Tamandua tetradactyla: one gene and its partners. The protein of the gene in region 2 interacts with the protein of the main gene of each other region in a biochemical or structural test. Links are inferred from orthologs where the notes say so. Each region holds a gene or a part of one and is shown on either strand. Other genes may lie near its edges. The genes, in order: MYSM1, H2AC20, UBR2 and USP16.

Region 1 (7,427 bases), on a different chromosome or scaffold from region 2:
GTTCTCTTTACTTTTCCAATGCAGTAGCAGGTGTCCAGAAATAAACCTGCTGAAGTTTTTTTTTTTACCTTTGGCTATTTTCAAGTGCCATGAAATGGTTATTTTCAATATATTTTCAAGTTCTACAGTTATTTTCTGTGGAGGGGAATTGCCTGACATCCAGCCATCACCATTGCTGGCTATACAGTCATCAGCCACAATTTTTGGAAAATGACACAAAAGAAAAGTTTCCTTGAGGTATTAAGTTCCACTAAACACTTGATTCCTTATGACACTTTTAGCCCCAAATAACTTTCACCTAGAAAGGGTCATTTCATTTCTCCCTGTTTCTAGCATGAGCAATAGGTAAGCTTCCAAAATCAAGTAAGACCTTCTGCATGAGTCTGTTGCTTTTAGTGATGGTCAGTTCTTTGGATGGAGAGAGGAAAGAGAATGGAAGCATATCATTGCCTGACGCACTGTGGCTCTGCAGCATTCATTCTCTCCATGTGGATCCTTAAAGATGGATAGGACTTAGGAATTATCTTAGCAATGCTTATCATTGCTTAGATAAACAGAGATTCACAGATTTTTATTTTTACAAGGTCAAGTTAGGACAAGGATGGAGGTAAGGCCTTGATCCAAGGCAGTATCCTTGCCTGAACATCACACTGACTTTCTTAATAAGCATTGTTTGCTGAATCTATTCTTAAAGTTCTTAAGCTTTATCATCCAGAGGAGTTATCTTAACAGCAAATATTAAAATAATATTTTGATGAAGCATGAAAGACTTACATATATCTGAAAGTTTCCAGGGTGAAACTTGGCATTTTTTTTTACAACACAAGACACAAAAAATAAAAATTATAAAGGATGACATTAATAAACTTGGTGACATTAAAATTTTAATAAAAAATTCCTATACCTAAAAAACACCCAAAAGGTATCAAAAAACCGAAAAGACAAGCCTTAGACTGGGAGAAGATATTTATAGTCCACATAAAGAAAAAAATATTGGTATTCAAAACATTAAGAAATCCCAACAAATGAATAAGAAAACAAACAATAAAAAATTGGGCAAAAATGCAAATAGGCAATTCACAGAAGATTTGGCCTTCATGGACAATAAAGTAAGGAAAACATTTGTCAACCTTACTTCTTTTTTTTATGTTTGCACTTTTATTAATCACCAAGTTGCATTTACATAGTTATTGCTACACATTTTTTGGGTGGGGGATTTGAAAAACTTTTAATTTGGAAATACTTTCAGACTTACAGGAAAGTTACAAAAGTAATGCAATCCCCATAAAGAGAACTCCAATGTATCCCTACCTACCAGATACCCAAAACTACCAATTTGAACACTTTGCCACATTTGTCATATTGTTCTATTTTTTGAACACTTGAGTGTAGATTATAGACATCATGCTTCTTTTTTTTAAATATTTGTCTTATAAACAATGTACCAACATACCAACATTCTTGATATACGATCATTCTTGACATATGAACATTCTTGACATGGTTACAATCAATGGCTAACAATATCATCCAATAGTTGTGCATTCATCACCATGACCAATTTTTTGAACCTTTGAATCTCTCCAGAAGAAGAATGAAAAAAATAAAAAGAAAAAACTCATACATGCCATACCCCTTATCACTCCCTTTCATTGACCACTAGTATTTCAATCTACTCAATTAATTTTAATCTTTGTTCCCCTGTTATTTATTTATGTTTTATCCATATTTTTTACTCATCTTTCCATACCATAGATAAAAGGAACATAAGACACAGGGTTTGCACACTTAATCACATTGTGAAAGCTATGTCATTATACAATCATCTTCAAGAAACATGGCTACTGGAACACAGCTCTAGAGTTTCAGGCACTTCCTTCTAGCCACTCCAATACACCATAAAGTAAAAGGGAATATCTATATCATGCATAGGAATATCCTCCAGGATAACCTCTTGACTTTGTTTGAAATCTCTCAGCCACTGACACTTTATTTTCTCTAATTTCTCTCTTCACCTTTCGGTCAAGAAGTTTTTCTCAATCCCTTGATGCTAAGTCCCAGCTCATTCTAGGATTTCTGTCTCATGTTGCCAGGGAGTTTTATACCCCTGGGAGTCATGTCCCACATAGAGAAGGGGAGGGCAGTGAGTTTGCTTGCCATGTTGGCAGAGAGAGAGAGAGAGAGAGAGAGAGAGAGAGAGAGAGAGGCCACATCTGAGCAACAAAAGAGGTTCTCTGGGGGTGACTCTCATTTTAAGTATGCTTAGCCTGTCCTTTGTGGGGATAAGTTTCATAGGCACAAACCCCAAGATTGAGGGCTTGGCCTATTGACTTGGTTGTTTCCACTGCCTGCAAGAATATCAGGAATTCTCCAAATAGGGAAGTTGAATTTTACCCCTTTCTCACCATTCCCCCAAGGGGACTTTGCAAATACTTCTTTATTCACTGTTCAAATCACTGTGGGATTTATAGAGACATCACACTAACCTGGACAAAACAACAAAATCTCATGCCCTATTCAAAGTTCCATGCACTTACGGTGTTCAATTAAACTATCCATATAAGTTAAATTATCAACCCTATTTAAGTAGGAAGATACAAATTAAAATCTCAATAAGATACCATTTTATATCTTTCAAATTGACAAAAATTCAGAAATCTGATTGCATCAAGTATTGGTAAACAAGTGGAGTAATTAGAATTTATATTCTGCTTTGGGATTGAGTATTGGCAACTTCTAATAAAATTGAAAATGCATATATCTTATCACCTTACAATTACATTCATACACATAAACTATATGTATCACATATATGTATACATTATATAGCCTATGTGCATGTATATATATCTTATGTAATGCATTTATAGTACAGCTTATTTTATGCCCTGAGCACAAAGGTGAGAAAAGACTAATTGAGAATACTGTGGGAAAGGAACTCATTTCATTAATTGATTCCTTCATTCATTCATCTGTTAAATATTTTTTGAGTACCTATTATGTATCAGACATCATGCTGTATGTCGGTAGTATAAGGACTGACAGACTCAGTCTTTGCCTTAGGAATTCACTGACAACAGGGGAGGCAAATAAGTGAACCAATAATTAAATTGTGAGAGTGGCAGATACTAAGGCATATATATATATATACATATATAAGAAATAAAATATATAATTAAATTGTGAGAGTGCTAGATACTAAGGCATATATATATATATATATATATGAAATATATAATTTCTTGAGAGGTCACACATTCTTTGAGAGAAATGATCTTTGTCCTCTACAATGCCTAACAACATGATTTGTACAAGGTAAACACTCAGTAAAGAATCAGAAAGGCCTAGATTCTGTTTCCAGCTCTGTCTTCGTTAGCTATGTATCCTTGGAAAGTCAGTTGACCTTTTTGAGTCTGTTGAGGATTGAACCATGCCCCCAACAAAGGCATTTTCAGGTCCCAATCCCTGTTGTGGTGCAAACCATTTGTAATTAGGATCTTTGAAGATTTTATTAGTTAAGGTGAGCCCAAATTGAATGAGGATGTTTTAATCCACTACGGTTAAAGTCCTTATAAGATAAAGAAATTGGACACAAAAAAAGCTAGAAACCAAAAGAGGAAAGAGAGGAAATTGCCACGTGATGGAAGAGACAAAAAACAAACAAACAAAAAAACCCAAGACACCAGTAAGCAGGTCCAAAACATGATAGTCTCTGGGGAGAAAGGATTGCTTTGCTTGCACATAGATTATGGACTTTTCCTAGCTCCAAAATTGAGTGCCAATAAATTCCTGTTGTTTAAGCTAAACCATTGTATGGTATTCGTTCTAGCAACTGGGAAACTAAGTCTCAGTTTCCTCATCTATTGTGTGATTGACGATACTAGCCATTATCTCAATGGGTTACTGTAACGATTAATGGTCATTTGAGAGTGATTTTTTAATTGTTAAGATCGCTACAAAATAAATGATGCAATCATTAGGTTATATATTTTAAAATAGAGTTTGTTCAGCACTTACATCTCTTTTTAAAAGAGAGAGAGAAAGCATACGTGAAAGCGCAAACGTAAATAACCAGCAGATACGACTTCTTCACATTTGCCACCTTCACAGTTCCCCGAGTATAGCCTAGCTCCAACTTTTCATCAGGCCATTAAAGTATTTGCTGCTATTCCTCTTTTACAAATGATAGAAGGGAACTGCCAAAAAATTTGTCCAAGAACATCAGCTCTCAAAAGCCCAAGGCAGGGACACTTCCCAAGGATCCTGACATTTAAAACGTAAAAGAACTAAACCACACGCCTCCGGGACTTTCCTTCTGGAAGCCACGCCTCCTTGGCCCAGGAGGGGCTTGACGGGACTTCAACCCCTCCCCTTGACGCATCCGGTCCCGCCCCCGGGTCCTCCACCTCTCGCGGGATCTCTCGGGAGGACAGGACCCGGTCCGGCCCCATCATGGCGGCTGAGGAGGCGGATGTGGATATCGAAGGGGACGTAGTGGCAGCGGCGGCACAGACAGGGTGAGGCTGTGAGACGATTCTTACCGGGCGGCGGGAAGAGGGCGCAGATGCGAGGAGAGGACACTGGGAAGCCCACGGACCTGGCAAGGCACGGGGCATCGGAAGACCATCCGCTAGGCCAGGGTCTCCTGGCGGCGGGGCTTGTGGTTCTGGTGGCGCCGCCCGTCGCGCCAACCCATGTGTCCTCACCCTAGCGGGCGACTATTCGGGGCTAGTTTCGAGACTCCTCTTTCGCTTTTCACCGGGTGCTTGTGAGGGCGCCGACTTCGCCTGGCATATTGCACTCGTTCCAGCGTTAGGTGCCTTCTTCCTTCCTCCTCGCTTTAGAATCTTCCCCGGTATCCTCAGTCCCACTGCCCGCCAATGGAACCGAGGCGGTTCCTGGCGGGTCCTGAACGGGACCTCAATGCAGGGACCCTCGTGCCATTACTCTCAAGCCTTGTAACCTTGGGCGAGAACACGTTTCTTCTCCATATGGAGAATAAACTACCTGAGAGGGAGAGTCAGGAGAGTCAGGGTTTTAGAGTTGGACAGTTCTGAGTTTGCTTTCTGCGTTTACTAACACTACCAGCTACTAGCAGTGTGACCTTGGACAAGACACTTGTCTAGCCTCAGACCTCTCATGTGTAAACTGATAATCGTGATATGTACCTCATGGGGTTGTTGAGGATCAAATGAAACTATTATGAAATGTTTTTGCATATTGTAGGGGCTCTGTAAATGTGTTTGGCTATCCGATTACCTTCGGGATGGTAGCGTGAGGACGCGGTGAGGAATCACAGTTTATTTAATAATAATTTCCGCAGAACAGCCCAGTGTGGTTTTAAACAGCAACCTTCAGCTTGGAAGATCTGGTCTATTGATGCGTTACTTTTTCCACTTACTGAGATCAATACGTATCATTTAAAAAGTGTTCTTCTAGAATATAATTTTAGTAGTGGAAGATGTCAAGACTGGCCTGGACATCAGAAAACCTTAGCTCTAAACCCAGCTAGCGATGTTGTTTTAACTGAAAATCTTCATTAATCTGTTAGGTTGAACCATATGAAATTGCCAGTATTCAACCATTTTTTACTCTTTTTTGTAAAATGTCAATTTCATATGGTTCAACCTATTATCAGAACCACTGTTAAATGGGGAGAAGAGTACAACCTGGCCATGAGGGGCAAGATATGGATATAAAAGTGTTTCCTGAACTCTAAAGCCGTATAAAAATGTGAGAGATAATTCAACTCATATAGTAATTTTACATCAAATTTTTGAGGAAAGAAGCCCAAAGTATGCATATGAGTAGGAAGTCTTTAATAACAGTAATTGTTCACAGTTGTGTTGTTTAAAACTTGACCAAATGCTTTTGTGTACTTGATTTAATTTACTTTTCACAAGTCCATGAGGTGGGTGGGCAAGAATTCTTTTGCAGCCCAGAAAGAAATTAATTGGCCTTGGAAGTACTAAATAAAGATCATCTGAAGGCATTAACTGTAGACCATTCTTCTACCATAGATTCTTCTTTATTTTTCTGGTTGTGTTAAATCCCCCACTCCCACCCCCACCCCTTTCCTTCTTCCTCCACTGTTTGGGCCTTAATTCTGCTGGTGCACTTGTGATTATATCAGCCTCCTATAAACAGGATTTCAAAGATTATTGGTTCCTAATGGTCAGAGCCATTACCTCACGTAACTCCAGGGAAGATCATTACCATTATATCATGGAACATGGAGCCTCATAGTTTTGGGGCTTCAGTCATTTGGGATTTATTGTGGATGGTGTCCCCTGAAGTATATACTTAACAACTGATGATAGCATGTGTGAAACATTGGAACATTAATATAAAATACACTTTTTTAGCACTTGCTTAGTGGTAGGTACCAAGGTACCTTTCTTTCCTACTATTCCTTCTCATTCTCCTTTTCTTATGCTTGTCATAGTGTTCCCAAATGGTTTTGTCTTAGGACTTCTCTGCACTGTTCACACAGTCTCAGGTGATACTATCTCAAGGCTTCAACTTCTGGTTGAACCATATGAAATTTCCCCAATTCTACCATTTTTGGCCTACAAAAATCGCAGTTTCATATGTTCAACAAATATGTGCTGATGTTTTCTAAATCTGTCACCAAACCAAATCTCTTTCTTGAGCTTCAGATCAGCTTACCCAATTCCCAAAATAGATCTCTATTTGGATGTCCAGCAGACACCTCAGCTTATCATTTTTCCCTCCTCACCAAATTTGCCTCTCTAGCATCCCCTAGTTAAATAGCGCCAGCATCCACCAGTCACCCAAGGCATAGACCTAGACTTTATCCCTTTTCCTTACCTCCCTCTTTCCACTCACCCAACCCTATTAGTTACTTGGGACCTGCTGATTCAATATGTGTCCTCTCAAATGTATTCATTTCTTCTCACTGCTTGTTCCTTAAGTATAGATTACTACCACTTCTCTCCAGTATTTTTATAATCACTTCCTTGTAACTGCTCCTTGTTTCCTTGGCCCCTTTTATTCTTTCCTGAAGTTAAAGCTGCCTTACATCCAAATCTGATCACTTTATTTACTTCAATCCCTCACTGGATTTTATGACAAAATCCTCATCTGTAACTCCTAAAGATCTGTGTGATCCACGCCACACTTATCTTGTTCATTCATTCATACAGCAAATATTGATTGAAAACATTCTGTATACCAAACTCTAGGAATATAGTAGCTTTCAAAAACTAAGTCCCTCCTCTCTTAGAACTAACATTATTGGTTAAGACAATGAACAAACATAAATAACACACACCTGTATTTATGATGTATGTGGCAAATATAACGCATATATGTGGCAGATGTGTCAGATAATAGTAAGTAGAGAAGGATGGAGGAGGGCAGATGATGGCTTGTCTGCTTTATCTCTTGTACTTACCTAAAAAATT
Region 2 (5,247 bases):
CAGTTGGGATGGTCCTAGTCCTTCTCCACTTTTAAATTCTGACCTTATGACATGGTGGCTCCAGAGAGAAACAGGATAAACTTTCTTTTCCCAAGGGGGAAGGAACTCATAAGAGCCTTGACTTGAAGAAGAAAGCTGGCCATGCCAGAAAGCAGAGGCAGTCCAATCCGCAGTCAGAAAAAAACAAGTAGGCTTAGGAGAAGGTGAGTAGATCACTTTGACTAGAGCAGAAAACCTGGATAAAGATGGAAAAAAAAAGATGGAGATAACGGAAAGCCTTAAACACCAGGGTTTTTAAAACTGTGCACTGGACTGCAGTTCTACTAACTTGCTGTACAATCCTGGGCAAGTTACTTAACCTCTCAGAGCCTCAATTTCCTTTACCTGTGAAATAAGGATAATAATGGTACCTATCAAGTGAAAATCTGAGATAATTCACATAAGTATCTTAGCAGAGGACCAGGTAATAGTTAAGTGCTCAGTAAGTGATAGCAATTATTACTTTAATTATAGTAATTATTAAAATAGTAACTTATTATTAATAATTATGATTATTAACTCCAATATAAGCAAAGGCAATTAAAGATGTTTGAGTGGGAGAAAGAAATGATTAAAGAGAGTCTTTAGGATTAATCTCACCATCACTGATTACCTCCCCTCCCAGTGAAAATAGCAAACCCTATCACCTCTTTCCCTTTCCTTACTCTGTAACTTCCTTCCTAATGAACATCATGTCCAGGAAGGGCCTGCAACCAGCAAGTAGTGTTCTTCAGTGTTCATGAAAAGATTCCAACTGTTGAGTGCCAGGTGGGCCAGGCCAGCTGAGTTAGGCTGTGTCCTCTAGGCAGGAGAGCCAGAGCTCCCCAACCCCCTCCCAAAGCCTCGGGAGCGGTATGTAAGACTTTAGTCATCACCTCCTTACCTCCCCCCACCCAGATTTACATCCAGTGTGCATTTTGAAAAGAGTAAAGCAGGTGGTGTTTCATTTAAGTTTTAAGCGATAGCTATTTCCCCAAACACCCAGGGGTAGGGGTGGAGGGTCCTGATTTTCAGCTAGTGAGCCTACTTTCTCAGGTCATCAAAAAAATTTCCCAAGCTACAGAGACTAGCAGCTTATTCTCTGAAGAGTTTCTGAGGAAAGGTCTCTCTGTGCCCATTTCCTCATCTGTAAATTGGAGGGTAATGGTAATACCTACTTCATACAGTTTTGGTGAGGATTTAATGAGTCAATGAGTGTAAAGGACACAAAACACGAGATGCCACATGGTAAGAGCTGTTATAGGTATGAGCTTTTATCATTTACTAAAGTAAACTTTAAAGCCTTTATTTCCTCCACCCTGTTTATACTCTGTATCTGTTGTCACAGTTTTCAAAACACTAAGCATGAAAAGTGATTTCTCATCAGACTATTTCAGCCCCAGGGGACCTTTGGGGAAGTGAATTTTGTGCTGAAGGTGTATATTCTTCCTTCAGATCACAGGTACTCAGCTTTCTTGAAGATTCAGTGGCAGTTATTTTGTTTAACTGAGAGTGTATTACAGATTAACGGACCCAGCAAAGCTTTCAAATTAATTGGCAACCTTATTTTTATTTATTTTTCTGCATGGGCAGGCACCAGGAATCAAACCCAGGTCTCCGGCATGGCAGGCGAAAACTCTTCCTGCTGAGCCACCATGGCCCACCCTAATTCATAACTTTATTTTTAACAACTGCATTTACACACATTTGAAAACACAAGAATGAGATACAAGTTGCACTAATATCAGGGCCTATTCGGATTCATGAAACCTCTGGAATCAACTCAGGAGTCCCTTAACCCAAAGGAAAGTGCAGAAACTGCTCAGACCAGCAGCAGTGCCTTCGTCAGTAAAAGCACAACTTGGACAGAAACATTCGAAATTCTATAACTCCACAAAATAAAACCAAAATGCAATTGTCTTCATACCTGAGGATACAAACACCATCAAAACCTTAGTTTCGTGACTGTGAACTTCATTTGTGAAGGGGTCTTTAGCCCTGGGGTCCTGCCTGTCCCAGCTAAGTAAGAGTCTCCTGAGAAACAAGGGAGATAGGGCATATTAACAGCAGTCCCAGTGAAGAAGAGAATCAGGATGGGGGGGGAGGGGGCGGGCATAAAGGGAGCTGGCTTGGAAGGCTCATTGCACTTTCCAGTGACGAACGCTCTGAACTTGATAATCACCCCGAAGACACTACTCTGAGCCGGGAAGTAAAGGGAGGTCTTACCAAAACCACATCCCCCCGCGCAGAAAGGACCTGACCATCGCCCCTCCCAGTGGCTGCAGACAGGTCCTGTACTTGGAATGTGCTCCAAACCACAGGTCCATTCTCACCGAGGCGTGGTGGCTTCAGACACAGCTAAGGGGAAACAAGCGCGCCCATTCGTCCAAGAAAACGGTGTGGGAAATGAACTCAAATACTCACGCAGCCAGTGCCCACTGCTTCTGGCCCTGCCACGCTGAAGATACAGCTGAGAACCAGGCGAGAACCAGGCCAGGTTTCCTGCCCTCAAAGGCTCGCAAACCGGAGGGGAATAAAGACCATAAATAAGACAAACGAACCACACAATTTCCCAAGCTGCTACGAAGAAGTTTAAAAAAGAGTGAACGGAAAGACTGGAATAAGAGGCGCGGACTCCTGAATGGCTTATCTGGTGGGGGGGGGGCGGTCTCCCCGAGGTGACTTTGGGACCAAACCTACGTGACCAGGGCAAGGATTGCGGTGACCTAAGGACCCCGCGTTCCAAGCAGCGTTATATGTAAAATAACCCGTAGAACCGGGGGGGGGGGGGGGGGGGGCGCGGAATAAGGTTTTAGAATCCTGTAGTGAGCAGAGGAATCGGAAGCTACGAATTACGAAACGAAGCGGGATTCTGAAAATTCACCCCGTCCAACCCGGCGCGTTTGGGTGTGGGCTCCGCAGGGGGCGCCTACAGCCACTGGGACCCCTGGGCGGCCACCGGTGACCCCACATGCAAGTCGCTCCAAGAATGGCTACATAACTAATACAAAAAGCTGTCGTACGACGTTTCCGACCCGAACTCAATGTATCCTGGGGTCTTTCCATTAAGTTCATCAGTTGAAATCACTCCGTTTTCCACGCCAAGTTAACAAAGCGCCGCCTACCCTACAAACAATTGGAAACAACAAATCCTTTGCATCCTAATAAATCCTTTCCCTGAAAACACAAAGGATAAAGATGGGTCTGAACTCAAAAACATAACTAGTCACGGGCCGGGGTCGAATCACTCCCGATTCCACGTTTCCTTTAGAAACGAATCTAAAGTGAAATATTAGATGGAGAAAGCTCTTTTCTTGTGACCGAGTGGGTGGCTCTGAAAAGAGCCTTTTGGAGCTTTAGGCGAGCGCTGGCGTGCGCGCCCCGCCCGGCAGGGGCTCACTTGGAGCTGGTGTACTTGGTGACGGCCTTGGTGCCCTCGGACACGGCGTGCTTGGCCAACTCGCCGGGCAGCAGCAGGCGTACAGCCGTCTGGATCTCCCTGGACGTGATGGTGGAGCGCTTGTTGTAGTGCGCCAGGCGCGACGCCTCGCCCGCGATGCGCTCGAAGATGTCGTTGACGAAGGAGTTCATGATGCCCATGGCCTTGGACGAGATGCCAGTGTCCGGGTGCACCTGCTTCAGCACCTTGTACACGTAAATGGAATAGCTCTCCTTGCGGCTGCGCTTGCGCTTCTTGCCGTCCTTCTTCTGCGCCTTGGTGACGGCCTTCTTGGAACCCTTTTTGGGAGCGGGAGCGGACTTTGCTGGTTCAGGCATTATAAAATAACGCTGAAATCAGCAAAGGAGACACAAGGATAGGCGGGCCTGAACCTTTTATAACCACCTTATGCAAATTAGGGCTCCAAAAGTCTTTCCTTTCCATTGGGCCATGTTTTATCATCAATGCCTACGTAACAGCGCCTACTCTGGACCTTATTGGCTGTTTCTGGAGCCAACTTAGGACCAATGAGAGTCTCGCTCCTGACCCCACCCCTAGGAAGGCTTATAAAGGCTTTCTTTTTGCCGCGTTGCTACCACCAATTTTCTGTCTCTTGGTGTGTTTGTGTGTTTAGTTTTGATCTGCCATGTCGGGCCGCGGGAAGCAGGGAGGCAAGGCCCGCGCCAAGGCCAAGTCGCGCTCGTCCCGCGCCGGCCTGCAGTTCCCGGTGGGCCGAGTGCACCGCCTGCTTCGCAAAGGCAACTACGCGGAGCGGGTGGGGGCGGGCGCGCCGGTGTACATGGCGGCGGTGCTCGAATACCTGACGGCCGAGATCCTGGAGCTGGCGGGCAACGCGGCCCGCGACAACAAGAAGACGCGCATCATTCCTCGCCACCTGCAGCTGGCTATCCGCAACGACGAGGAGCTCAACAAACTGTTGGGCAAAGTTACCATCGCGCAGGGCGGCGTCCTGCCCAACATCCAGGCTGTTCTCTTACCAAAGAAAACCGAAAGTCACAAGGCTAAAAGCAAATAATCTGTCGATAACGCCAAAGACCACCAAAGGCTCTTTTTAGAGCCACCCAACTTTTCAGAGGAAAGAGCTAGCGCTACCTGTCATCAGCCCTTCTTTTGCTGTTTAGTTGGCTCTGAAAAGAGCCTTTGGGTGGGGGGCGGTGGCGGCGTCACATCTCGTGGTTACTTACTCTTGCCCGGCTTGTGACTCTCCGTTTTCTTAGGCAACAAGACGGCCTGGATGTTGGGCAGGACGCCGCCCTGCGCGATAGTGACGCCGCCGAGCAGCTTGTTGAGCTCCTCATCATTCCTCACGGCGAGCTGCAGGTGGCGCGGGATGATGCGCGTCTTCTTGTTGTCGCGGGCCGCGTTGCCCGCCAGCTCCAGGATCTCGGCCGTCAGGTACTCGAGCACCGCCGCCATGTACACCGGCGCGCCCGCCCCCACCCGCTCCGCGTAGTTGCCTTTGCGAAGCAGGCGGTGCACTCGGCCCACCGGGAACTGCAGGCCGGCGCGGGACGAGCGCGACTTGGCCTTGGCGCGGGCCTTGCCCCCCTGCTTCCCGCGGCCCGACATTGCAGCTAAAAGCACAGTGGCTGTTTCTATTTCAAGGGCAGGGATGGAGCAGGGAACCCATTTGCTGTGATTTATAAGCGCAGGTCGGGAGCGGAGCGGGGCGGGGGCCCTGATTGATTGGCTGAGCGCGCAGCCGCGTCCGCCGCCAATGGCGAGCGGGCGACAGCCGTGGGCGCCCCGCACCGCGCGCAAGGGACGGG
Region 3 (7,202 bases), on a different chromosome or scaffold from region 2:
GCAGAGAGAACTGGGGAGAAGATGCAGTAGCTGGGCAATTCTGCATCAAAGTATGCCAAGTGACAATCCTTTTTACATCTGAGACAAAATGATTTTTAGAAAGCAGAGAACCACAAGATAGTGGATGTTCCATTCCTAGGATGTAATTTTTTTCTTTTTTCTTTTTTTTTCACATGAGCAGGCACCAGGAATTGAACATGGGTCCCCAGCATGGCAGGCAAGAACTCTGCCTGCTGAGCCACTGTGGCCTGCCCCCTAGGAGGTCATTTAAATCAGTGCTAGCAGGTACAGAACCAACATGAGATGTTTTCAAAATCTCTTTATTTCCTTCTGTCTTGAGGACTATTTTTACATCAACTGCTTCATACATTTCTATTACAGACTAGAGGAAATCCACTATCAAAGCTCAAATGAGGAAAAACAAATACAATCAGTTGCCGTCACCGTTAATCTCTTAGAAATAAAAGAGGGAGGTGGGGCAACCTTGTCCCCAAGAATAGTAGAGGGTGTGTCTACAGAGATTAACCGTGACAGATGTATCTTGGTGTGATCCTCACATAGGAAGATTTGTGTCCAGTGTTTCAAAATAATTCAAGGACAGAAAGTTTCCAATCTTTTACCCATGGCCTCTAAGAAGAGCCAAATAATGACGTTAGGACCTATCAAGAAGGGAAACTTCCCTGGTTTGAGGCCTACTCTACATGCGCTTGGTTATTTTAATCATGAAAAAAAGATAATAAATTAACTTGCCTGGAAATGGGTGCATATGGGAAGCAGTACCACAGGGGGAAATAGGTCTTGGAGTTGAAGAGATTTGAGTTCAATGCCATTTTTGTCATTTATTTAACTATATGACTGAACTGATTAGCTATTACTGCATTAAAATAACACCTAGAAACTTTGTGGCCTAAAACATCAGTCATTTACTTAGTTCACAATTCTGCAGGTGAGCGATTTAGGCCAGTTCTCCTCTTCTCTCCCTGGATGCTCTCATGCAGTTACAGCTCCCCACAGGTCAGCGAAGTGGCTCTGCTTCTGGGATGTGTGGCTGTCAACTGTGTATCTTCATTCTCTTCCACATAGCCTCTCTTCCTCAAGCAGTCTACCTCAACTCATTCCTTTTCCTTTGTGACAAAATTTGTAATAAATTTTGATAAGTGGCCATCACTAATTTGCTTGAGAAGTTTTTCTTTAAGTATTTATATATTTTAAAACCTTAAAAATCCCAAATAATGTTCACCTCAGGTACTAGTCTGAGGGATGACTGGGTGATGGATGATATAGGTCCATAGAACTACAGGAATAGAATGTAATTTCCTCATTCTTTGTGTGTGTGTGCGTGTGTGCGTGCGCACGTATATATTTAAAACATAAAACTTACCATTTTAACCACTTTCAAGCACACAATTCAGTGGCATTAATTACAATCACAATAGTGTGTTACTCTCACCAACATCCATTACCAAAACTCTTCTGTCACCCCTAATAAATTCTCCAGTCATAAAGCATTAACTCCCCATTCTCTCTCCTCCCTGTCCTTAGTAATCCATAATCGACTTTCCTTCTCTATGAATTTGCATATTGTAGTTATTTCATATAAGGAAGACCATACAAAATCTGTCCTTTCGTGTCTGGCTTATTTCACGCAACATGATGTCCTCAAGGTTCTTCCATGTTGTTTAATGTATCAGAATTTCATTCCTTTTCAAGGCTGAATAATATTCCATTATATGTACATACCACATTTTGTTTAACCATTTATCAGTTGATAGACATTCGGGTTGCATCCACCTTTCAGTAATTGTGGATAATGCTGCTGTGAACATTCACATACACACATCTGTTTTAGTCCCTGCTTGCCTTTCTTTGGGTATATACCTAGTAGTGAGAATGCCAGGTCATATGATAATAATAAGGTTAACTTTTTGAGATACCACCAAACCGTTTTCCATGGTAACTGTACCATTTTACATTGCCACTAACAATGTACAAGGGTTCCTATTTTGCCACATCCTTGCCAGCACTTGTTCTTTTCCGTTTGGTGAATAATAGCCATTCTAGTGGTTGTAGGTGGTGTCTCATTGTGGTTTTGATTTGTCTTTCCCTAATGACTAATAACATTGAGCATCTTTTCATGTGCTTATTAACTATTTTTATAACGTCTTTGGAGAAGTGTCTATTCAAATCGCTTGTCCATTTGGTTTTGAATTTTTAAAACTTTTTTATTTTGAAATAATTTCAAACTCACAGGAAAGTTGCAAAAATAATACAAAATCCATACAGAGAACTCCCCTCGACAGATACCCAGATTCAACCGTTCTAACATTTTGCCAGATTTGCTGTATCATTTTGTCTATCAATCCATTTATCTATCAATTTTCTAAACATTTGAGAGTATATTATACATATCATGCCCCTTGAATACATAATACTTCTATATACATTTCTTAAGAACAAGGATATATACTTACATAACCACCTTGAGTACAGTTATCAAGTTCAAGAACTTTAACATTGATATAAAACTTTCATTCTCTATATCAGTTTTTTCAAAAGCCTTTTAGGGCTTTTCTCCTCCAATATTAGATCCAGTCTAATGCCATGTATTGCATTTAATCTGCGACTCTTTAGTTGCTCTTTTTAAAACAATTATGGATACATAGAAACAACATAAACTTTCCCATCTCCACCACTCCCAGTATACCATTCAGTGAGATTAATCACATTCACAATGTTATATTACACTTAACCACCATCTATTACCAGGAACTTCCCACCTCTTCAAAAAGAAACTATCCCCATTATCCTTTGCCCATTTTTCAATTGGATTGTTGGAGGTTTTTTGGTTTTTTGTATATCCTGGATATTAAGCCCTTATCAGATATACAGTTTCCAAAGATTTTCTCCCATTCTGTTAGCTGTCTTCACTTTCTTGATAATGCCCTTTGATGTACAATAGTTTTTAAAAATTTGATGAAGTCCCATTTGTTTTCTTTTGTGGTTCATTCTTTTGATATAAAGTCTGAAAATTCATTGCTTAATACAAGGTTCTGAAGATATTTCCCTATGTTTTCTTCTAAGAGATTCATAGTTTTATTTAGGTCATTGATCCATTTTGAATTGATTTTGTATTTGTTGCAAGGTAGATACTTTCATTCTTTTGCATGTGGATGTCCAGTTATCCTAGCACCATTTGTTGAAGAGACTATTCTTTCCCATTGAGTGGACTTGGCACCCTTGGAAAAAATTAATTGTCCATAGAAATGTATGTTGATTTCTGAATTCTCAATTCTATTCTATTAGTCTATATGTCTGCCCTTGTGCCAGTACCATACTGTTTCAATTACTATAGCTTTGTGGTAAGTTTTGAAATTAGGAAATATGCATCCTTCAATTTTCGTCTTCTTTTTCAAGATTCTTTTGGTTACTAAGGACCCTTTGTGCTTCCCTATGAATTTGATGATTGGCTCTTCCATTTCTGCAAAGAAGGTTGTTGGAATTTTTATTGGGACTGTATTGAACCTATAAATTATTTTGGGTACCATTGACATTGTAACCATATTGTCTTCCAACCCATGAATATGGGATATCTTTACATTTCTGAAGTCTTTAATTTCTTTCAGCAATGGTTTGTAGTTTTCCTTATGTAAGTCCTTTACATCCTTGGTTACATTTATTCCTAGACATTTTCTTCTTTTAGTTGCTATTATGAATACAATTGTTTTCTTGATTTCCTTTCTGATCATTCATTCCTAGTTTAGGTATACTACTGATTTTTGTTTGTTGATCTTGTGCCCCACCACTTTACTGAATTCACTTATTAGCTCTAGTAACTTTCTTGATATGCTTCCAGATCTTCAGTCATTATTTTGACAAATATTTGAGTGTATATCATATGCCGGACTTTAACAAATACTTGAATATTTACCATGTGCCAGAGGCTATTCTATGCCCTCAGGATACAAAAATGAACAAATACGGGTGGGGGGTGGGGGACAGCGGATAAAACTACTTCCCACAGTATCTTGTTCTGCAGCCTTATTCCTAGCGGGTGCTTATTTCCCAAGTCTCTCCCCAAGAGTCTAGTTGTGCAAAGAAACCCCGCCCCATTACCTGCCAATTCCCATTGGCAGATTCTCTGCCATTCTCTCCTTAAGAGATGTACTACAACTCCCACAATGCCCTTGTGGCACCCTATTAAGGGGCCGCCTTCCTCCTGGCCTTGCCTGGGACTACTACCGTTCCCAGAGTGCTCCTCTTCCCATCTTGGGTGTTATTGCTCCTTTCCCCGGGTCGGACGCGGTAGAAGTCAACGAGAGTGCCAGGCACGGGGTTCTCTGTGTCCTTCCCCGGGCAGAGACAAGTAGGTGACTTGCCACTTGGTCGCTGGGCCCGGGAGGGAGCGTAAACACCGCCGTCCCTCCTGACCGGTTCACCTCACCCTTCCTTCCTGCCTTGCTCCACCCGCGGCCGCCTGGCGGCTCCGGGACTGACTGCCTGGGGCAGGGGTGACGGTCGCGGCCGCCCGGGCTGTGGCGAGGCCACGGCCCTTGGGGCGGCGGTAGCGGCGTCAGCGCTGGGGAAGAGGAGGAAAAATGGCGTCGGAGCTGGAGCCCGAGGTGCAGGCCATCGACCGGAGTTTGCTGGAATGTTCGGCTGAAGAGATCGCGGGGGTGAGTACCGGGACCCCCGCATGTAGGTCTGGCCCTCGCAGGCCGCGCCCCGAGGGAGGAACTCACTCCTGGAAATCCCGGGGCGGCCCGGCCCAGACGTGATGTGACGACCGCGCCTGCCTCCCCGGCCTCTCCGTTCTCCCCAGTCTTGTCTTGCAGAGTAACGGCCGGAGGAGGCCACCGGTCCTAATGATCTCCTGTCTTTCCTTTTAATCCTCAAATAGCCCAGTGCTCCAGCCACCTTTACTTTCCCATTCTGCCTAGACCAACAAAGAGCTCTTGCATTAGTCTCCCCCCCCCCCCGCCCCCCCACTTCCCATTAAGTCGCCAGTACACGGGCCTTTGCCCTTTATTCCAGCCCTCGGAGGATGGGAGGGAAAGAGACGATTCCTAGTGGTTTTGGTATAATCACCCAACTCAGACTTCCTGATTCCTTTTCCTGAGGTAAGCGAAGCAGTTCCTCCACTGAAACATGGCACAGTAACTGAGCCCCTCCTTTTTTTCTGGGGTTGCCCTGGACACCAGGGATGCAAACGACACCTGTGCGTTTTTGTACCTGTTTGGTCAGCCGACGACGTGTCTTTGAAGGTGTAGGAAGTAGTATCTTGACACATTTAGTAATTTTATGAAAGCTGTAGTGGAGACCAGGAGATTAAAAAAAATAATTTCTCTAGTCATTGGGGGTAGTTGGATGGAGAGTAAGTTATATAACTTCGAGAGTGTAACTTTCAATAAATACAAGCTAACATTGAGAGGCCACAGCTTAGCAGGAACAGTTATGCTCCGAAGTTAAACTATTAAAACCAAGTATTGTACTAAAATTTGCATATGCTAATACAATGAGCAGAATTGTAAAATAATTATTTTAATAAAACTTGACATCTTTCCCCCAAGGACAGGGAACACCTATTAGTACAGATTGTCCAGAATGATTATGAATGGACCAAAACAACTTAGGCCCCACCCCTAAGGTTAATAAGAAGGAAATGACCTCTGAACACAAGTCAACAATCTTACTTAATGTTATGAACAGAATTTGAGGAGGGTACTATGGGGTTATTGGTCAGTGATGAGCTGTTTTGTGTGCATTAATGATATAAAGTCAGGGTGCAAATAAATGACAGTAGGAGTATAATTAAAAAGTGTAAAGAAATAGACTGCCTGTTCAGTAATGAGTCTTCTCTTTCTTTTTTTAACCATATCCTGATTTACATGTTTATCCCGTGTCTGTTTGCACTACTGTCTATTTAGTATTGCAACAGCTCAAGGATTTTCAACCTCCCTCTACCTTTCATTTGTCGAAGATATTTGAAAAAGCAAATGAAAACTGTTAAGGTAAACAGTAAAATAATAGTATTGGCAGCTGTTCCTTATGCATGATCTCTTCTGTTGATATCTAATCAGTTATTTACCTCAGAGTTTTTTTGTGGTTTTTTTATTCTTCACTGAATTTTGTGTTTGTTGGCCCAGTAGTATAGGCTATTTATTCTATGATACCTCATCTAAAAGGGCAAACTGTTGAGTGATTAGAGTTTCTTCAACTTGTTGAGAATTTCGAGGAAACCAGTTATAAAACCAGGGCTGAAGGCCAACACTCCTAGTTCTAGGGCAGTGACATTCTCTCAAGATGCAGTGGGGAAAGTCAAGGAAATGCAATAACTAATTATTAATTTGAACTTAATTAGAGTTTGTGGGGATCTGCAACCTGATCTATATTTTACATTTGCTCTGTTTACTTTTAAATGGCTTTCTGAACGATAGCATAAAGAAGAAAAAGGTTCAGTCTGAGGGCCAACAATTCCTTCAAATAAGGAACAGACTAGCTAATATTAAAATATAAGATCCCCTCAGCTCATGTAATCTATCTTTACTTTGTGAAGGGTTTACTGTCTGTTTCTGGTTATAATAGCATGACATTTAAAACTGTTCTTTCAGCTTGGGCTCCAGTACAGCCCTTCTCACAACTGAAAATGAATTAACAAAGTTTCTCTATCAGATTCAAAGTAAATTTTAGAGAGTGTAAACAAGTAGAGAAAGCAGTTATTGCAGCCTTTAAACTTCTGTTACTGATAAGTTATTGGGATCACATCCATTTAAAATTACACAGTGAGCACTAGTGTTATCTTTCCAAACTTTATTTATACACTGCTTCTCTTATTTCTAGAATGAGGAGGAAGAACTTTTTGTGAACTCATCTGTCCTGACTAGTATGCCTCAGAAATAAAAAGCTTCTAAGCTGACTGTTTAATAATTTTAAGTTTGGGATATTAAAGTGGCCCTTTGTTCTCAGTCTTCTCTTTTTCTTGATAGAAATGATTCCATAACAGCTATAACTTTCCGTACTTCTTGACTCTCCTCTTTATTTACATTTCATGCTCCAAGATTTAATTACAATGTCATTTTCCAATGAGTGATTATGGTTTAGGAAGTCCCTACATTTTTTTCCCTAAATGTAAAAGATACATAGGCATTGTAGAAATTTTATAGAGTTGTATGTATATATTGTTTTTTTTTTTTTGCTTTAAAATT
Region 4 (7,104 bases), on a different chromosome or scaffold from region 2:
GGTTGCTGTGGAGTATTGTGTAGGTGAACAAGGATGAAAGCAGGGGGACCAGTAGGCACTGCAGACTCGGGGAACATAGGATAGTGGCTTGGATTAGGGTTGTGATGGTTAAGGCAGTGAGCTTCAAGTTCTGGACATACAGTGAGAGTAGAGCCAACAGGTATTACCAATGAGTTAGATGGGATGTGTAAGAATGACTCCAAGGCTTTAAGCAATTCCAGAAGGATGGTTTTGCCATTTATCTATAAAGGTAAGATAGTGGAAATCTGAATTTCGGTTTTAGACATACTAAAAATGAAGTACCTATTAATACATCTATTAACTAGAGATGTACAGTGGGCATTTGGATTTACAATTACGGAGTTTACGGCAGATTCGGGTGAAGATATTCGGAGTCACCAGCACCTATTTGAAGCCAACATGTTTACAGCCGTGTATTTAAGATCTCTCAGCAAGTGAGTGCCCATGTAGAGAGGGACCCAGTGAGTTTGGAGGTCTGGTCTGGAAGATGAGATGGACCCAGCAAAGAAGTTTGGAACGGAGGGACCCGTGCGCTAACAACTACGGGAGTGCTGACACAAGAAAGTCACTTATTTGCCAAATTACTATCGTGGGTGAAAATTTCAGCCCCAAAAACCTTCAGGAGAGTTTTTTGACTCGAGTGCAGTGAATTGTTCTGTAATAACGTAGAATGAAACTAGAGTTTCTTGAGTGGAATCCTTCTTTCTATTTGAAATTTGTTTTTAAAGATCGGAGCAGGAACCCAGCATTTAAAAACAAAGTGTTTAAAAGCAAAGTTCGGACTCAAATCTCAAAAAGCGGCCCTGGCAGTGGACCTAAGCCCAGCGCGCAGGCGCTGTCGCCTTTAGCAACCAATAGGTCCTGAGAGGGAGGGACAGCGGCCAATAAGCGGGCGTGTACGGCACCGGAAGTCTGTGCCACCACGCCAGCAGGTTTCCCGAAGGTGGAGCCCGCCTCTGATAGCGGGAGAACCTCTCAGTCGTGCCCGGCGCCCGCGGACGGAGAACTCACCTGGGGTCAGGCGAGGGCGCACTGAATGCGCCCTCAGTTCGGTATTCCCAGGTTTCCTCACTAAACAGATATTTCTGTTATGCGGAGCGAGCCTCAGAATACAAGACGACCGGAGCCTGGAAATCGCCCCTATGGAAGTGGGAAAGGGCGAAGGTGGCTTGCGCTTGCGCGCGCTGGGCCGTGGAATCCGGAAGTCGATTGGCGCAGTGGTGACGGCTGCGACCCGCTGGAGGGGTGTTCTGGCCCCGTGGTCTTCCTACACCTCACGGTCTCAAACCTATTGGCACTATCAGAGAGAAATATAGCCGGCATTGTTTACTGGGGCAAGGAATGGACCATTAAAGTAATGCTTCTCAAACTTGAGCACAAGTCGGAAGCGTTTGGGGACCTTGTTAAATACAAATCCCGGTTAGACAGATAGGGCTACGGTCCCAGATTCTGCATTTGCAATAGGTCTCACGCGATGCGGATGCTGTTGGTCCTCAAATTGAACTGAGTAGCTAGGCATTAGGGAGACGGGCCTGAGGATGATGGCTGGGACGGCTTTAGGTTTTCGCTCCCGATAATATGCCCAGGATGTGTGTGTGAGGGGAAGTATCCATGCACAGAAATTTACTGCAGGTAATAAAATGACAGTTTGAAGGAGTGATTAGAAATGTTTTTTAATCCAAATGTATGTAATACATACTTTCACTTTTTCCTTTATGATACTACATGTTCAGTTTAGAAATGTCGTAAATAAGATTTTTGTTTTGTTTTTTAGGTGAACAGTGGTAACATTATCACCGCTAATTTCCAAACTTTGTTATTATTTTTACAAAAATAAGATTGTATATGGTCTTTATAGCTGCATTTCTACTTGGTATTTTTAAGGCACTTTTCAGTGTCACTAAACAACCCATCTCTTTTTTCCTCCAGATTGTATTCTGAAAAATTTCAAGCATACAACAAAGTTGAGAGATTTTTGGAGTGGTTTCAAAGGGAAGGAGGAGGGGGTAGGGATATTTGGCACGGATTGAAGACATTTTTGGTTGTCAACAGCTGGAGGAGTGCTGCTGGCATCTGGTGGGTAGAGCCTGGAATGCTTCTCAACATTCTACATTGCACTGGGTATCCTCTATAGCAAAACATTAGCTAATCCAAAATGTCAATGGTGCGAGGGTTAAGAAACCCTCACTGAGAGACTATCCTGATATTTTACTATACATAATTTGCTACATATTTAATCTATCCATTGTTAAAAAGCATTTCAAAGTAAGCTGCATGTATCATACTTTTTTCTAAGTACTGCAGAATGTGTATGCCAGCATGCGTATCTTTAAGAGTTCAAATTGTTTAGTTCTCTTTAAAGATAAAATTTATAATGACATGTATGTCTTATATGTACATTTGTTGAGTTCTGACATGCATAAACCTGTGTAACTCAAACCCTATTGAGAATTGGAACATTAACATTACCCCAGAAAGTTCCTTCATGTCCCTTTTCAGTCATCTGCACCCATCTCCCAAGAGGCAACCACTACTCTTTTTTCCTACCATAATTAGTTTTGCCTGCCCTATAATGAATGGAATCATACAGTAGGTGTGCTTTTGTGTAAGGCTTCTATCATTCTAATAATTTATAAGATTCCTTCATGTCCTTGTAGCAGTTCTTTTTTAGTGCTTAGTAGTATTCCATTATATGAATATTCCAGTTTTTCCATTTTTTTCCTGGGAGCCTGGGGTGTTTTTTGTTTTTTTTGGCTTTTATGAGTTGAGCTGCTATGAACATATTTTGTACAAATATTTAATTTCTAAAGATTATATTTATTCAATAAATATTTACTAAGTACTTACTCTATTTACCAGACACTTCTAGGGATATAGCCATGAACAACACAAAGATGTTCCAGCTCTCAAGAAGTTTACATTTGCACTTTTGTGTATATGCGGTAGGGTGGGGTAAGCAAATGTATAACTAAGTGTGAAAGTAAAATATCGGAGAGGGATAACTGCTGGGCAGAGAAGTAAAATAAGATGATGTGAATGATTGGGAGTGGCTGTTTTACCTAGGTTGCTCAGCGAATTTTCTGTGACTTTTAAGGTGCGAACGGAATGACAAGAGGACACCAAACACAGAAGGTCAAGACAAGGAGCATTCCAGGCAGAGGAAGCAGGTAGTACAGAGGCCCCAAGACTGAGTTTTGGAATAGAAAAACAACATCAACAACAAATAAACAAAACCAGCGTGGCTGGAACTTAGTAAAAAGAACTTGAAAAATGAACTCAGAAGCAGTAAAAAACAGGAGAGCCAGTTTATCTCCAGATTTAAGCAGAGGTCGTTTTCATTTTGGTCAACTGGATGGATAAAATGCCAATAAATCCTAATCTACTTTTATCTGATTGCTAGTAAGAGTGTACGTTTTATGACCTATTGTGGATAACTTGTTTACTTCCCTTACCTATTTTTCTGTTGATCCTGCATCTTTTTTCCATGGTGATTATGTCTTTTTTATTAGAATAATTTCCAAAAGGGCGAATCCTATGTTTAATTTCTCTTAGCAGAGGGTCTGGCACCAAGTGGGCACTTACTTATTTGAACGAATGAACAGTGTTTGAAAATTTTACCCTCCGTGGTTCTGCCTTTAAGACACTTCTTCAACTTTGCTTTAAAACTATGTGTGCTACTTTTTATTTTGACGTTGTACAGGATAAGACAGTTCCTGTAAAACTGTGTGAAATTTAAATGTTCCCATCTTATCCAGCCTTCGGGTGTAATATTTAAGAACAGTAACTCGGAAGAATCTAGGCACTAATTCATTATCAGTCAGGAAACCCAAACTTCTAAACACCATCAGTTACCTCATTTTATTGCACACACACACACACACACACACCCCAACACACACACACAAACTTCTAAACACCATCAGTTACCTCATTTACCCAATGGGGAAATGCCTCATTGACAGCCGAGCTCCTTAAGGTTACTGCGGCCCCGACTTCCGTGTCGCGGTGTGCGCAAGCGCTGATTAGCTAGCGTCAGCGCCGCCGAACCTTGGGGCCGGAGCCACTTCCCATAATGCCGTGTTTCGGAAGTTGTTGCTTTCTCGGGGTCACTCTGGCTTTGAGTTCTGTCGCTCTCTAATCGTCACCGGGAGGAGGACGGAGCTGGAGTCCCAGCCCATAGGCCCATCAGGGAATGCAGTTATGGGCGCTGTCGCCGCGGGTGAGTTCTGGCCCCACTGACTTGTAGTCCCTACTGGCTTAACTTCATGCGCTCTGAGAGTCCCAAATTTTCTGCCCACATCTGATTCTCTTCTCGTAGGACCTTCTTCCTTAAGCTGGTTACCCGGTCCCGGCCCGACACCGTATTCTCATTGGTTACGTTTTCTGTCAGTTACAGGGGCTGGCCAATGAGTTGCTGGCCTTGGCGCCCCTCTTGACCTCGTGGACCCCGAGGTCCTGGAGTGGGTTCGGAGCAGTTAGTTGGAAGGGGAGGGCAGGTCTGGCGGGCGCCGCGCGGGTGGGTGGCAGGCGGCGGACAGCACCCTACGGGTTGGAACTGGGTTTACAGCTGAGTTCATGGTGGTTTATAGAAAAAGAATAATCTGTCACCCTATCACCTGCTTCTAAGGGTGGATAGAACTAAGAAAAACTTTGAAAGCCACGTTTAAGACCTGACAAAGTTTTCCAAACTCTTGCATTTTCAGTGGAACACTGTAGGGGTAAGACTGGGAGGGCAGAGAGTTAATGCAGAAGATTTGTATGATATCCGGCAAGACTAGCTTCGATCTAAATTTTGTGTGGAGTCCTGAAAAGAGTCATTTGGTCAAGAAGTTAATTGTCGTCCCAAGGCGCACCTGAAAAATTAAATAGCAGTATTGATGCTTTATAGTGACTCATTAGATGTCCTTTATATGTGAAAAATTTACTGGAGCTCTTTCTACAGCATCGAAGTGATACCCTGCTGTCCTCTGCCTGCCGCAATTACAGTTCGTCTTTCAAGTTTTCCTTTGGACTGTGGGCTGGTGCAGTCCTCAAACCAGATTTGCTAGTGCTGTCTTCACAGCTGCAGACTTCATTTTTCATTTTCACCAGAACTTGTTTACTTCATTCTTATGTACCTACCTTTACACCTTATAATCATCTTTTATGTCTCAAGTACCATTCTCTTTTTCTGTTTCAATGCAACAAGTGTTTCTTAAGAATCTGTCCGTACTTACACTCTACTAGATGCTACAGGCAGTTCAGAAGAAATGCTTAAAACATTTCTTTGTCCTTGAACTTTAGATTCAAGGCAGAGAAATAATAGATGTCCAAGTTAAAAGATTTAAGAAACTGTCTACAATAGTGTCTTATTAGAGTATAAAATGAATAGTGCACAATATAAACATTGAAAGTTTAGGACAGAAGTTTATTGAGTTGATGGTTGGTGAAGGCTTCATTGAGATGGAGAATTAGAGAATTGGTAAGATTTGGATAGATGGAGAGAACATGCCTGCTGAGAATTGGAGGTATAGAGGTGTGGGCAAGGTGGTTTAGACTGGAGGATTCTGAAGTGATTGGCCTGATTGGAATGGAAAGAGTGGTGGTCTGGGTTTTAGATCTGGTTTTTAGTTCTGTCTCTGGCACTCTGCCCAATATAAAGGGTTTTTTTGTGTGTGAAAATCAAAGGAGGTAATGTTTGTGAGATGGTTTTGAAGACCAAAAGTTCTGTATACAGTAATTATAATCTTCATGGTTCTTTGTTAATGAGAGTCACAATTACTAGAGAATTGTGGCCAAATTATAAAGGAACATGAGTGCAAAGCAAGTGTTTGGGCTGGGAAATTATTAAATACTATTAGTCAAGAGAGTGATGTGATTAAAATGGCATTAGGACACTGAATACAGCAGATTAGAGAGTTGGATTGTAGGCAAGAACTTGGGAGTTATATTTTTAGTTTTTAGAATCTACCATTTGTTCTAGATAAGATGAATGTCATTTTGAGGGTGAGGGAAAGCACATAAAGTGTACCTCATTTAATGTATACCCATATTCTTTGTGTTCTGTTGTTAGTTCATTCATTTTGTAAACATTTTAGATTGGAAATGTTTTCTTACCAGAAACCTTTACTTGATGTGGCAGTCATTCTTCAAACAAATATTTTTAAATTACTTCACCTTTAATTACACTAACCCATTTGGAGCTAAAAAGGGAATACTTCTAAAACTCTCTAAGTCAGGACAAAAATGACAGTTTATATCATATTTAACTGGAAAGTGTTTTTAGAACATATGTACTCCACTTTCTACTTACAGAATAAAAATTTTAATGAACATTCCAGATAAATTAACTGTTATGAGGTAGTCATTGAAGTGATTTTTTTTTGGTTAATACTTTTAATTACATGACCATAATTATACTATTTGACATTTTGGATAAAACCAGTTACAATACACAAGATTTTCAAATGAGACGATATGTATCAAACTAATAGATATGCAAAGTTTACAGGCCATTATGAAGCTTTATCTTAAAAATACCTTCTGGAGAATAAACATTCATTAGACCAGTTCTCTCAGCTTTAAAAACATATGGTTAGAAATAATACATTTTAATTAAAAAAATCAAGACAATGATTGATCAAATAGTGATTAATCAGTTACATTTTAAAACTTTTAATAGTAATCTGTACATGAGTGCAGGATAGATAAAAGTCTGCAAATTATTAATATCAAACTGCAGTACTATAATCAGATGAACGTGACTGCTGACTGTTAATTCTACTGGATAATTATGGAGGTAATTTTCTACACAGTGTAGGTGAATTGTCCAGTCTTTTAAACACGTCTCTAGTATTTCCTCTTAGCAAAATTGGAAATATTCAAATTGGGAGAGATGGAAGATCAGCAGCTAGCCTTACCAGGTCAGTTTCAGTGGGAAATAACTATTAAAGAAATGAAATATGTTTAAAGCTTTTTGATGAACATTGTTTTCCAAAATATTAAAAATAAGGAGTTGAGCTACTTTTAGAACAAACCTCAAGTGAGTACACTGCTCACTTGTCAAGAACAATGATTCAGGCAAAGGAAGGGCTGCAGGAGCGC

Evidence for each region.
Region 1: of the proteins of H2AC20 (region 2) and MYSM1, one has a biochemical effect on the other in vitro, tested with the Homo sapiens proteins (2 studies listed by BioGRID). The link is inferred for Tamandua tetradactyla from reciprocal best matches to the Homo sapiens genes H2AC20 and MYSM1.
Region 3: the proteins of H2AC20 (region 2) and UBR2 form a complex in vitro, tested with the Homo sapiens proteins (2 studies listed by BioGRID, with this or other methods). The link is inferred for Tamandua tetradactyla from reciprocal best matches to the Homo sapiens genes H2AC20 and UBR2.
Region 4: of the proteins of H2AC20 (region 2) and USP16, one has a biochemical effect on the other in vitro, tested with the Homo sapiens proteins (2 studies listed by BioGRID). The link is inferred for Tamandua tetradactyla from reciprocal best matches to the Homo sapiens genes H2AC20 and USP16.

What each region holds. Positions count from the first base shown.
Region 1 is NC_135328.1:162,151,898-162,159,324, forward strand, and holds the start of MYSM1 (deubiquitinase MYSM1), read left to right. Parts: upstream 1-4,409; 5' UTR 4,410-4,452; coding exon 4,453-4,517; intron 4,518-6,978; exon of another isoform or gene 6,979-7,427. UniProt on the Homo sapiens protein: Metalloprotease with deubiquitinase activity that plays important regulator roles in hematopoietic stem cell function, blood cell production and immune response.
Region 2 is NC_135330.1:5,947,695-5,952,941, reverse strand, and holds H2AC20 (histone H2A type 2-C), read left to right. Parts: upstream 1-4,048; 5' UTR 4,049-4,103; coding exon 4,104-4,493; 3' UTR 4,494-4,654; downstream 4,655-5,247. Other genes in the region: histone H2B type 2-E, read right to left, coding at 3,415-3,795; histone H2A type 2-B, read right to left, coding at 4,655-5,047. UniProt on the Homo sapiens protein: Core component of nucleosome. Nucleosomes wrap and compact DNA into chromatin, limiting DNA accessibility to the cellular machineries which require DNA as a template.
Region 3 is NC_135331.1:100,144,248-100,151,449, forward strand, and holds the start of UBR2 (E3 ubiquitin-protein ligase UBR2), read left to right. Parts: upstream 1-4,191; 5' UTR 4,192-4,595; coding exon 4,596-4,673; intron 4,674-7,202. UniProt on the Homo sapiens protein: E3 ubiquitin-protein ligase which is a component of the N-end rule pathway.
Region 4 is NC_135336.1:88,300,925-88,308,028, forward strand, and holds the start of USP16 (ubiquitin carboxyl-terminal hydrolase 16), read left to right. Parts: upstream 1-4,098; 5' UTR 4,099-4,213; coding exon of another isoform or gene 4,214-4,240; exon of another isoform or gene 4,241-4,392; intron 4,393-7,104. Other genes in the region: uncharacterized protein LOC143647711, read left to right, coding at 329-379, 870-1,300, 1,951-2,097, 3,116-3,212. UniProt on the Homo sapiens protein: Specifically deubiquitinates 'Lys-120' of histone H2A (H2AK119Ub), a specific tag for epigenetic transcriptional repression, thereby acting as a coactivator.